Linked DNA regions of Diceros bicornis minor. The protein of the gene in region 2 interacts with the protein of the main gene of each other region in a biochemical or structural test. Links are inferred from orthologs where the notes say so. Each region holds a gene or a part of one and is shown on either strand. Other genes may lie near its edges. The genes, in order: GDF2, BMPR2 and BMP2.

Region 1 (3,747 bases), on a different chromosome or scaffold from region 2:
TGACAGGTCCAACTCTTTATTGAGCATCTACTGTATGCCCAGAATCGTACCAGGAGCTTTGCATACTATATTTCACTTTACTCTTCATAGTGACCCTGGGAAGATCTAATTATTATTCCACTTTTACAGATGTGCAGGCTGAGATTTAGGGTGTTTAACTGCCAAAATGCACACATCCTATAAAGATCCTCACTTAAAAAAAAAAAAAGAAGAGCCAAATAAACAAAACAGCAAAGCACACTGTCAGCCTCAGAGTGCAGGTCCTGAGGGTATGATTTTAAAGGAGAGATCCTGGCAGGGGATGGTAAAATTCCAACGTGAAGACAATATTAAAAATCTCAGCCTCTAAATAGTGTAGAAATCATTCAGAATTGTAACTTCCAAGCAAATCGAAAGTGGATGATTTTTTAATGTTTGAGGGAAAAAATATATTAGCCTCAACTACCTTGTCACGTTAGGCAAAAACAAGGCTTGCCTTTTAGCCACGTGATTGTCTCGGTTTCCCAGCTCTCCTGGCTGACACATGGCCATTAGCACGTCTCTATTACACCATGGCTCGGTCACAAACAGGGAAGAGAAGTTGCGTTTTTTTGAGCACCGACTGTACGCCAACGTGAGGGGAGACGTGTGCCGTTGTGAAAGCCGGTGGTGCGTGACAGACTGATGCCAGTCCTGACTCTGCCCCTTCCTAGGCTTGTGACCTTGGAGAAATCCTGAGTCTCTGTCTGCCTCAGTTTCCTCATCTGCAGAACGGGGCTCATCCTACCTGCCTCCCCGCGTTGATGTGAGGCTTCGACAGGATGACACATGCAATTTACCCAGCACTGTCTCTGGCTCACAGCAGATGCTCAACCAATATTTCTGTGTCCTCCCCAGACCCTCCTCCCAACCTGTGCACGCCACCCCCACATAGCACATGGCCTTACACACAGCATGGATGCGCCATTCTGATTCCTGCAGAGCCTGTTGAGCTGCCATGGCATACGTGAATAGTGAGAAGGGTCTATAAGCAGTGCAGGGGTGCCTTGAAAATGGCCGTGGGGCCACATCAGACATCCAGAAAACAACTGCCCCCCTCCCTGAGCTGCACCCGGACCATCTGGAAGGGAAGCATAATTGGCCTCCAGGAGCACTGGCCACAGGCAGAGCCAGGATGGGCTCAGAGTACTTGTTTCTGGGGCATGGACAAGGCGGGGGTGGGGGTGGGGGAGGGTGCATAGAGAAGGCTCCAAACGCTGGACTCCCAGGCTATAGGATTTGGTGATTAGGTTCAGCCAAAGAAGCCCAGCCTTCCCCTAAAGCAGAGGTTACAGACCTGCCCTATGGGCCTGGTGAGATGCTGGCAGCATCTAGGTGACCTGCAGACTGCATTGTTTAAAAAATTAAGCCAAGGTTTTAAGAATCAGGCAAGTTCCCATAAAATCCAGATTTTTCTCCCTCTTTTGGGCAATCAGAAACTCCAACAGGGCTGGGCGTGCATCATGACCACGGTGTCTTTTAGTCTGGGCATGTGCTCTGCGGGCCGGGTGGGTCTCGTCTGCCATGGCCCTGAGAAAGACCTGCTAGGAGTCTGCAGGGCTCCAGCCCAGGAGGGGAGAGGCCCTGTGCGCTGGCTGTTTCGAGGGAGACCGCAGCAGCCAGAGAAGCCTGAGCTGTGCAGACAGGTGGGCCTGGGTCAGCACCCAGCCGGCAACCAACACATGACCTGGGCAAGCGACCTGGGCATCTGCAGGCCTCGGCCTCCCTGCTCACAACATCATTTCCCCTGTGTCGTGTGAATCAGTGGACAGAAGCCCTAAGTCGACGTCTGTTATCTTTTAGTCCTCCTAAATCAGGAAAATCATTTTATATTTAGAAAATCATTAAGTTGTTTTCCAATGTTTCTCTCTCAGAGGAATTTATCTGAATTTTAGACACCTTTCAATGAGAAAGAAATAGACATTCTTTCAAAGCTTAAAAATATACCAGATGGTCGGAGGCTGAATACGTTGTCTGTTTCTAGGTAGGAAGGGGACAGTAGGGAAGGGGGAGGAAGGGAAGGGACAGAAGAAAGGGAGCTGGCATTCCCACCGCACACACTGTGTTAAAAGTGGCACTGGGCCCAGGGAGGGAGAATCTTCTAGAGCAGAGCTGTCCAGTAGACCTCTCTGGGATGACTGAAACGTTCTACGATCTGCACTGCCCTATAGGGCGGCCATCTGCCACACAGGACTGCTGAGCACCTGAGTCCAAGCTGGTGACACTAAAGAACCAAGTTATTAATTATATTTCATTTAATTAATTTAAATGGAAACTTCAAGAGCCTCATGCGTCCAGTGGCCACCTTATTGGGCAGCATAGCTGTTGACCACGGCATCCCTCCCCCCCGTGGGGTGCCCTGGTGGAGCCGGCTCTACCTTCCACGCTGAAGCTGCGCACGATGTTGGAGGCGGGCGTGGACGACTTGTCGGAGGTGTATCTGTTGTACAGGTCGATCATGTACTGCGGCGGATCCGCGCGGGTTTTGTCCTGGGAGGGGACCCCGCTCAGGTTGAGGCTGCGCAGGAAATCCACCTTCATGTTCTCCAGGAACATCCTCAGGTCGAAGGTGCCCCCTTCCTGCTCACCTCCCGGCCCCCCTAGCAAGCGGCGGGCATCTCCCGCAGCCGGCGCCCGCCCCCGGCTCTCCAGCGGCTTCCCCTGCACGGAGCAGGCCAGCAGGGCGAGCACGGGCAGGGCCACCCACAGCGCCCCGCAGCACATCTTGGGACCCGCTCTCGCCCTGGACAGGGGTCTGCGGGCGCCGAGTGTGTTAGCGGAAGCGGGGAGGAGCGGGGGAGGAGCGGGCCCGCATCGTCCTGCCCCCCGCTCTGCACAGAGCCCCCCGGCCAGTTCACAGGCGCTCAAAGGCAGTCCCGGAGTGTCCTCCACTTGTGCTTATCTGGCCCTCGATGCCGCGCTCTGACCTCTTATCTAGGGGAGCTCTCCCTTAATGAAGGCTCTGTAAACATCTGACAAACACTCAGGGCTTGTGGGAAGGACATGGCCTGCTGCAAAAAATCCGAGTTTCGCCGTGGGGTTATTGCTCCCTAATTAGGATCCTTCCTTATTTCCTTGCCAGCTCTGTTCAGAAGAATCTCGAGACAGGGTGACACATGCTCCATCTCCTGGACCACAAAACGAAGAATCCAGGAAACAAACAAGAGCAGCAAGTCCTCCAAATATAGAAATAATGACACAAAACTCCCAGAAGCCCCTGGCAAACCTCCGTGGGGGTGGCAGATGGGGTGAGGACCCCAACAGTGTTAGTAAGAGGCCTGGTCTTTGTGGGGTTGGAGCCTGCCTGTGTGGCTCAAGCGCTCTGTGCCTCGGTTTCTCATCTTGAAGCAAGTTCCTGAGCGTTAGAGATGGTGGGTGGCACCTATAATTTAGTGAGGTGAGGAAGACTTTGGAGTCAGACGAGTCAAGGGTTCAAATCCCAGGTCCCTCACTTATCAGTCACAAGTGTGACCTAGAGGAAGTCCCTTCTTTGAGCCTCCAGTTCAGAAGCGAGCTGTAAGGATTTGAGACGATTCTGTGCTAAACATCATGGCAGTCACTGCAAGCCCCAGTCAGCTGGGTTGCTGCATTCTGGCTGCCACTTCTCCATCCCGGGTCTGACTGAGCCTTGCGCCTCCCCAGCCTGCTCTCTAGGAACACACACTGAGGCCTGCTGGCCGGGGACCCCAGAAGAGCTCTGTCACTGCTCTGGGTGGGGTGGGGTTGGGG
Region 2 (3,747 bases):
CCTAATATTCTATTATGGATATACCACATTTTGTTTATCCATTAATCAGTTGATAGACATTTAGGTTGTTTACACTTTTTTTGTGTGTGTGTGAGGAAGATCAGCCCTGAGCTAACATCCGATGCCAATCCTCCTCTTTTTTTTTTGCTAAGGAAGATTGGCCCTGAGCTAACATCTGTGCCTATCTTCCTCTACTTTATTTGGGATCCCGCCACAGCATGGCTTGACAAGGGGTGTGTCGGTGCCCACCCGGGATCTGAACCTGCAAACCCTGGGCCGCTGAAGCGGAGCATGCGCACGTAACTGCTTGCACCACCGGGCCAGCCCCTGTTTACGCTTTTTGACTATTATGATTAATATGGTTATGAATATTCATGTACAAGTTTTTGTGTGAAGATATGTTTTTATATCTCTTGGGTATATACGTAGGATTGGAATTGCTGGATCATATTGGTTGAGTTGTAAGACTTTTTATATTCTGGATACTAGTCTTTTGAGCTATACAATTTGTAAATTTTTTTCTGTGAATTGTTTTTTACTTTCTGAATGGTGTATTTTGAAGCATAAAAGTTTTTAATATTGATGAAATCCAAATTACATATTTTTCCTTTTGTTATTGTGCCTTTTTGGTGTCATACCTAAGACACTATTACCTAGTCCAAGGTCACAAATATATATACATATGTTTTCTTCTGAGAGTTTTATAGCTTTAGCTTTTACGTTTAGAGTCTCTGATGTATTTGGAGTTAATTTTTGTATATGGTGTGAAGTGGGAGATCCAGCTTCATTCCTTTGAACGTGGATATCCAGTTGTGCATGAATATCCACTTCAGTCACTTGTTGGGCGTGGGGAGCCCCAGCACAGTTGGCTGCAAGATCTATTAGCACATTCCTGTTGCAGTTTTTCTGTTAAGTGAGTAGGCCCCCAGCGTGGCTGGTTGCGTCTCAGGGGCTTATAATTGCTATGGGCCTCCTGCCTGCGAGGCTGTTGTCAGCCCTCTCAGGAGTACAGCTGGGTGGGGCTGACCAGAGGCATGGGAGCACGCAATGGTTTCACGCTTTGGAAGGTGGGGCCAATTCCCTATATGGCTGTTTGAGAAGCACAAGTCTGCTGCAGCTGACAAGCCCCACCACCTGCAGGCCCACACACCCCGTCGACACAGTCCTGCCCCGTGCACACACCCTGATCCACTGAAGCAGACCCACTTGCCCCACTGCAGAGACCCCACACACTCTGCCCACACAGGCCTGCCCCTTGCACACTCCTTGCCTGCCTGAGGTGGGCCCACAAGTTGCCCAAGGGCTTGCTGTTGGGTGGGTCCAGTCCCTAGGGGGGGCTGCCTGGCCTGGCTGTGTTGGATTAAATCAGTGCTCTAGTGAGTGGGGCAGACCCCTGCACTAAGAGGCCAGAGGAAGAACTCCAATGGCATCTGCCAGCGTCTGTGTCAGCACGCCTGTACTAGGTTACAGTAGTGGCTGCCGCCAATGTCTCAGTCCCTGGGGAGGTGGTCGCAGCCTGCGGAGGTCTCACCTCTCACCAAGATGCGCCCAGAGCCTATCAAGTGAGTCTCTTTTCACCAAAGGACTGTGCACCTTTCTGGTGATTTTAGGTTGCTTTCTGAAATGGATGAATTTGTGTGTGGGCCCTTTAAGGGCAGCGTTTTTTTTCCCCTTATGTCGGATAGCTTTTCTCAGGGTATTCCCCATTGTTGTTAATACCAGCAAAGCCAGATATTATGACATTTGTCTTGGTTGTGCTGAGTCCAAAAGCTGCTTATAGTGGCAAAGCTCTCCTGCTCAGACACCCCCCTTCTCCAGGAATGGCTTCGTACCTTAAGATTGCTCCCAGCTGGCTGTGAAGTGCTGGGCTAGCAGATGGCTTTTTCCTCTCCAGAAAGGAATTTCTGCCTCTTCCACCTCAGTGAGCACTGTCCCTTGTTGTGGGGGTTCTTTTTATCCGGTTTTCGGTTCTTTCTTAGGGGTCACTGTTCCAAGAGGAGTTGTAAATTTGTTTTGTCCGTGGCAGGAAGTGAGTTCAGAGTCCCCCTACGCTGCCATCATGACCTGAATCCTCAGCCACTTGTTGGAAGGGCTAACTTATTTCCCCTTTGAGTTGTCTTGGCACCCTTCTCAAAAATCAATTGACCATACATGTAAGAGTTCACTTTTGAACTCTTAATTCTCTTTCACTGATATATATGCCTGTGTTTATGCCAGTACCACACTGTCGTGATTACTGTTGCTTTGTAGTAGGTTTTGAAATTGAGAAATGTGAGTCCTCCAACTTTGTTCTTTTTCAAGATTGTTTTGCCATTCTGAATCCGTTGCATTTCCATATGAATTTAGAAGCAGCTTATCAATTCTGGAAGAAAGGCACTGATATTTGATAGGGATTGCATTGTTATGTAGATCAGTTTGAGGAGTATTGCTATTTTAACAGTATTAAGCCTTCCAATCAGTGAGCATGGATATCTTTCTGATTATTTAGCTCTTCAGTGTCTTTCAATGATATTTTGTAGTTTTCAGTGTACAAATCATGCATTCTTTTGTTAAATTTATTCCTAATTTATTCTTTTTGGTGCTATTGTAAATGGAATTGTTTTCTTAATTTCACTTTTGGATTGTTCATTGCTAGCATATAGAAATTCAGTTGATTTTTGTATATTGATCTTGTATTCAGCAACCTTGCTGAACTCATTTATTAGCTCTAATTCCTTAGTATTTTCTATGTACAAGACCATGTCACTTGCAAATAAAGATAGTTTTACTTCTTCCTTTCTAATTTGGATGCCTTTTATTTCTTTTTTCTTTTTCTTTCTTTCCTTTGTTTCTTTTGGCCTAGAATCTCAGGTATAATGTTGAATGGAAGTGGAGGAGCCAACATGTTTGTCTTGTTCCTGATCTTAGAGGGAAAGTTTTCAGTTTTTCACCATTAAGTATGGTGTTAGTTGTGGGTTTTTCATAGATGCCCTTTATAAGGTTAAGGAAGTTCCCTTCTCTTTCTAGTTTGTTGAGTGTTTTAATCATGAAAAGATGTTGTATACTTCTTAAGATATTAAATATACATTGAGTAGTATTTATATATTTTCCCACATATAAAATAATCATAGTACTAGTCGTTCAAACTATTCTCTCCTCATTTTCTCTCTTTTGCTCTGAAAGAAAAGCAGAGATGACAAAAACAGAGTTATTTACAATAAGTATCTTTTTGAAATTAAAAACACTATTCGATTACTGTAGAATAGTCATTAATTTACTTCATTTAAAAATTACAAAATATATCGAAAGTGGGATAATGGAAATGTTTTCTTGAGGAAGTCACAACTTATCTGGGTTAACCTCTCTTATAAAGGGGGTTACTCTAAGTGAACATTAAAACTATTATTTTCTTCAAATTTCAATGATTCTGTGACTTTACAGCTCAAATGTATTCTATAGTCCCCTTAACATGAAACCCTGTACCCATTAGCAGTTAATCTCTGTTCCCTTCCACACACACTTCCTTATCCCAGCTGTACTCATCTACCAATCTACTTTCTGTCTCTATATCTTCACTTTCTGAACATTTTATATAAATGGAACCATACAATTTGTGATCTTTTGTGACTGACCTCATGGTTCATACGTTATAGCGTATAACAGTACTTTCTTTTTTTTTTTGTTGGCAAAAAACACATAACATAAAATTCTCCCTCCCAACAATTTGCAGGTGTGCAACCACATGCACATTGTTGTGTAACGGGTCTC
Region 3 (3,747 bases), on a different chromosome or scaffold from region 2:
TTCTACTTTGCAGGCTGAAGGTTCTGTGCAGGCAAACTTGATTTTGCTGATTTGGCTTTTTCAAAAAACCTTCTGCCCTTGGCTTCTGGGACCTTTTGGGTAACCCTGTCACGCTATGCATGGAGAATCCTGGAATCCTGGGGGGAACAGAAAGCCTTGGCCTCAAAACTCATGGTGTGGATTTGGGGAATATTTCAGCTGAGGAAGACAACTGACTTGACCACACGTCACAGACCTGCTGCTGGGGCCTGGTGGAAGGGGGTGGGGCTGAAGGTTCTAAGGTTTCAAACCGGAATTGTCTTTCTGCTTGGCTCCCACTGTGCATTATTTTACCTTCCTCTGAGCTGGGCCAGATAAATATCACAAGGCATGAAGAGATAGCTACCCTAAAAAGAAATAAAATCCCTCTCATCCTCTCTTCACGGTGCCACATACAGTCCACGTTGCGCAAGTCATGTATAGCAGGCTGACATCCATTTCACATATATAGACGTATATTTATAGAAATGTGTGCTATCGTTAGCATATATTTATATATTGGATATATTTCTAGAGACATACACGAGTATATTTGTATATTACATATATATTTATCTAAATATATGTGCATATTTAGATAAATATAAATGTATACATATATTTCTATAAATGTAAGTGCCTATACATACATTTGCATATGTAATGCATATATCTGTGTGTTAAAGTCTAAATAACATCCAGTTTCCAATCTCTAGTTTTCTTTTAATCCTCCTCCCACCCCGGGGAAACACAAAAGTGTCTACCCCAAGCCCATGTCAAGATGCCTTGTAACTTCGCTGAGTTATTTTTTTTTTTTCCCAATCGTCTATCACTGAAAACCTTCAAACTGAAAGCTGAATAACGGGCCGGTGAGGAAATAAAAGCTGGACCTCGTACTTTTCTGAAATTTCGCCCCTGGAGTCCCAGCGAGGGTCCGGCGCTCCAGTTTTTCTCCCCTTTGAGGGCAGGGGCTGGAGGCGCGAGCGCCCCCAACGGCGGCCGCGCGTCCCCGCCGCCGGCCCCACCCCGCCGCGGCTGCCCCGGCGCTCGGTCCACACCCCTGCGCGCCGCTCCCGCCCGCTCGGGGATCCCCGGCAAGCCGCGCCACCGAGGGGGAGGTGTTCGGCCTCGGCCGGGAGGGAGACGGCAGGCGGCGTCCCCTTTAAAAGCCGCGAGCGCCGCGCCACGGCGCCGCCGCCGCCGCCGCCGCCGCCGGAGTCCTCGCCCCGCCGCGCCGCGCTGCGCCCGGCTCGCGCTGCGCCCGCCGCTGTGCTTCCCACACCCCGCCGGGGACTGGCAGCCACCGCCGGACATCAGCCGCCACAGGCTCCGCCGCCGACCCCGACGACCTCGGGGCGAGCGCCTCGCGGATTACTGGGGGCTCCGAGGCACCCGCGCGCCGCAGACCCCGCGCGGGCTGGAGCGCCCGGCCGTGCGCGCCACTGCGCCGTCGCCTCGGCTGCCCGGGCCGCGCCAGAGCCCAGGACCGGCGCGCGGAGCGCCGGGGAGCCGGGAGCCGAGCCCGAGCGCCGCGATGCCGATCACCTCCTGCCGGAGCTCGGGGGCCTGGGACGCGCCGGCCGAAGTGTGATTGGACTCCAGGCTGGCCACAAAGGGCACAGCAGCTTGGCCTGGGGGCTAGGAGAGCGAGGGGAGAGCGCGGCCACCCGCCTCGGCGGCCTGGGACTCGGCTCGACTCGCCGGAGAATGCGCCCGAGGACGCCGGAGCGCCGGAGCCGCGGGGGCTTCAACTGGCTAGCGCTGATGGGGGAGCGCTGGAGTAAAGCAGAGTGATGCGGGGGGGCAGCTCGCCCGGCACCGAGATCGCCGCTGCGCCCTTCCCCGGACCCGGCGTCGCCCAGGATGGCTGCCCCGAGCCATGGGCCGCGGCAGAGCTAGCGCGGAGCGCCCGACCCTCGCCCCCCAAGTCCCGGAGCCGGCCCCGCGCGGGGCCACGCGTCCCCCGGGCGCTGCTGGTTCCTAAGGACAACGACCGCACCAGCTTTTCCTTTCTCCCTTCCCTTCCCTGCCCCGCACTCCTCCCCCTGCTCGCTGTTGTTGTGTGTCAGCACTTGGCTGGAGACTTCTTGAACTTGCAGGGAGAATAACTTGCGCTCCCCACTTTGCGCCGGTGCCTTTGCCCCTGCGGACGCAGCCTCGCCGCCTCCGAACCCCGCCGCCTCTCCACTCCTCCGCTGGGCCCGACCCCAAGACGCCGTTCCCTGCGTGAAGAAAGGGACTGCCCGGCCGGCACCCGGGAGGAGAAGGAGGAGGCAAAGGAAGGGAATCCTGTCCCTGCTCCAGGTCCTTCGGCCAGAGCTTTTTCCATGTGGAGGCTCTTTCAATGGACGTGTCCCCGCGTGCTTCTTAGACGGTCTGCGGTCTCCTAAAGGTAGAGGACGTGGGCCCGGGATAGGGACTGGGGGGGTGGTGGCGGAGCCCGTCCCGGGCCGGGCCTGGCCGGACGTAAACAGGCCCCCCTTCAGGTCCACGTGCAGCCGTGCCCCTGCGGGGATGCCCCTATCCTACCGCCCCCGGCGACCCGTCAGCCTCGCCCTCCTGGCTCGCACTCTTCCGCCCCTCCTCCCTCCCCTCTCTTCGGTACTTTATTAGGGCTGTTAACACTTAGATGATTAAAAAAAAAACAGTCAAAGAAATCCTTTCCAGAGGGTGGCCCTTGGATTTCACCCGTTAGCTGCCAACCTGTACGCCCTGCCATGGCGATTCCTTTTGCCTTCTTCAGTGTTCTGTGGGAGACCTGCTCTCTGCTCAGCGCCACGTACCATTTGGGAAAAGACTACAAGTTGGGGTTCTCCCTGTTTGTTTCCAGGAATGTGAGGGGGTCAGTACTTCAGTGCCACCTTGTTACTGACACGTGAATTAATAGATATTAGCCATTTACGTAATCCCAGGAAGATACATGTGTATCTTGACTGCATTAGGAGGGGTTCGGGGATAGAGTGGCCTGTCCTGACACCTCTGAGGTTAGAGGCGTGGGCCACAAGTTGCAAGTGGCTTCAAGTTGCAAGTGGCTTCGGAAGTTGTGGCCTTGAGTTTACTGGGTCTGGAAGTTATAGACTCTGTGTGTGTGTGTGTGTGTGTGTATCAGGAAGTTCTATACAGTGCCTCTGAGGAAGTCACATGCACCATTCGTGCGTGTTTATATGCAGGCGAGAGCTGGGCAGTGTGTGTTTGGGTTTGTTTAGGGGACAGTGGGGTGTCAGACCAAGCAGTGGTTTCCCCAGGTTCCCTTAACTGGCTGTCGGCGCGAATGTCACAGAATAAAGGGTGACAGTCATTGACTCGGGGGAAGGTGCAAATCATGTCAGACGGATTGAGAGTAGGATGGGAGAGGGAAGCCTTCTGGCTCAGGAACTAGGGGCCTTCCATTCTCCCAAACTTTCGGGCTGCAGCTCCTCTGAAGTATCCCCGGCGAGTGTTGCAAGCCAGGTGGGAACCCTGGAGGAGGAAGCAAGCGGACCGAGCGGGAGCCGGGGCCGCGGGGGCGGAAGGGGGGAGGGCTGGGCGGGGAACTCGGTGACTCACGTCGGCCCTGTCCGCAGGTCGACCATGGTGGCCGGGACCCACTGTCTTCTAGCGTTGCTGCTTCCCCAGGTCCTCCTGGGCGGCGCGGCCGGCCTCATTCCCGAGCTGGGCCGGAGGAAGTTCGCGGCATCGAGTGGCCGCTCCTCGTCCCAGCCCTCGGACGACGTCCTGAGCGAGTTCGAG

Evidence for each region.
Region 1: the proteins of BMPR2 (region 2) and GDF2 form a complex in vitro, tested with the Homo sapiens proteins (2 studies listed by BioGRID). The link is inferred for Diceros bicornis minor from reciprocal best matches to the Homo sapiens genes BMPR2 and GDF2.
Region 3: the proteins of BMPR2 (region 2) and BMP2 form a complex in vitro, tested with the Homo sapiens proteins (4 studies listed by BioGRID and IntAct, with this or other methods). The link is inferred for Diceros bicornis minor from reciprocal best matches to the Homo sapiens genes BMPR2 and BMP2.

What each region holds. Positions count from the first base shown.
Region 1 is NC_080745.1:11,555,937-11,559,683, forward strand, and holds the start of GDF2 (growth/differentiation factor 2), read right to left. Parts: upstream 2,743-3,747; coding exon 2,397-2,742; intron 1-2,396. UniProt on the Homo sapiens protein: Potent circulating inhibitor of angiogenesis. Signals through the type I activin receptor ACVRL1 but not other Alks. Signaling through SMAD1 in endothelial cells requires TGF-beta coreceptor endoglin/ENG.
Region 2 is NC_080749.1:80,181,268-80,185,014, forward strand, and holds the start of BMPR2 (bone morphogenetic protein receptor type-2), read left to right. Parts: upstream 1-1,408; 5' UTR 1,409-1,423; coding exon 1,424-1,562; intron 1,563-3,747. UniProt on the Homo sapiens protein: On ligand binding, forms a receptor complex consisting of two type II and two type I transmembrane serine/threonine kinases.
Region 3 is NC_080758.1:34,645,209-34,648,955, forward strand, and holds the start of BMP2 (bone morphogenetic protein 2), read left to right. Parts: upstream 1-1,497; 5' UTR 1,498-2,410; intron 2,411-3,581; 5' UTR 3,582-3,588; coding exon 3,589-3,747. UniProt on the Homo sapiens protein: Growth factor of the TGF-beta superfamily that plays essential roles in many developmental processes, including cardiogenesis, neurogenesis, and osteogenesis. Induces cartilage and bone formation.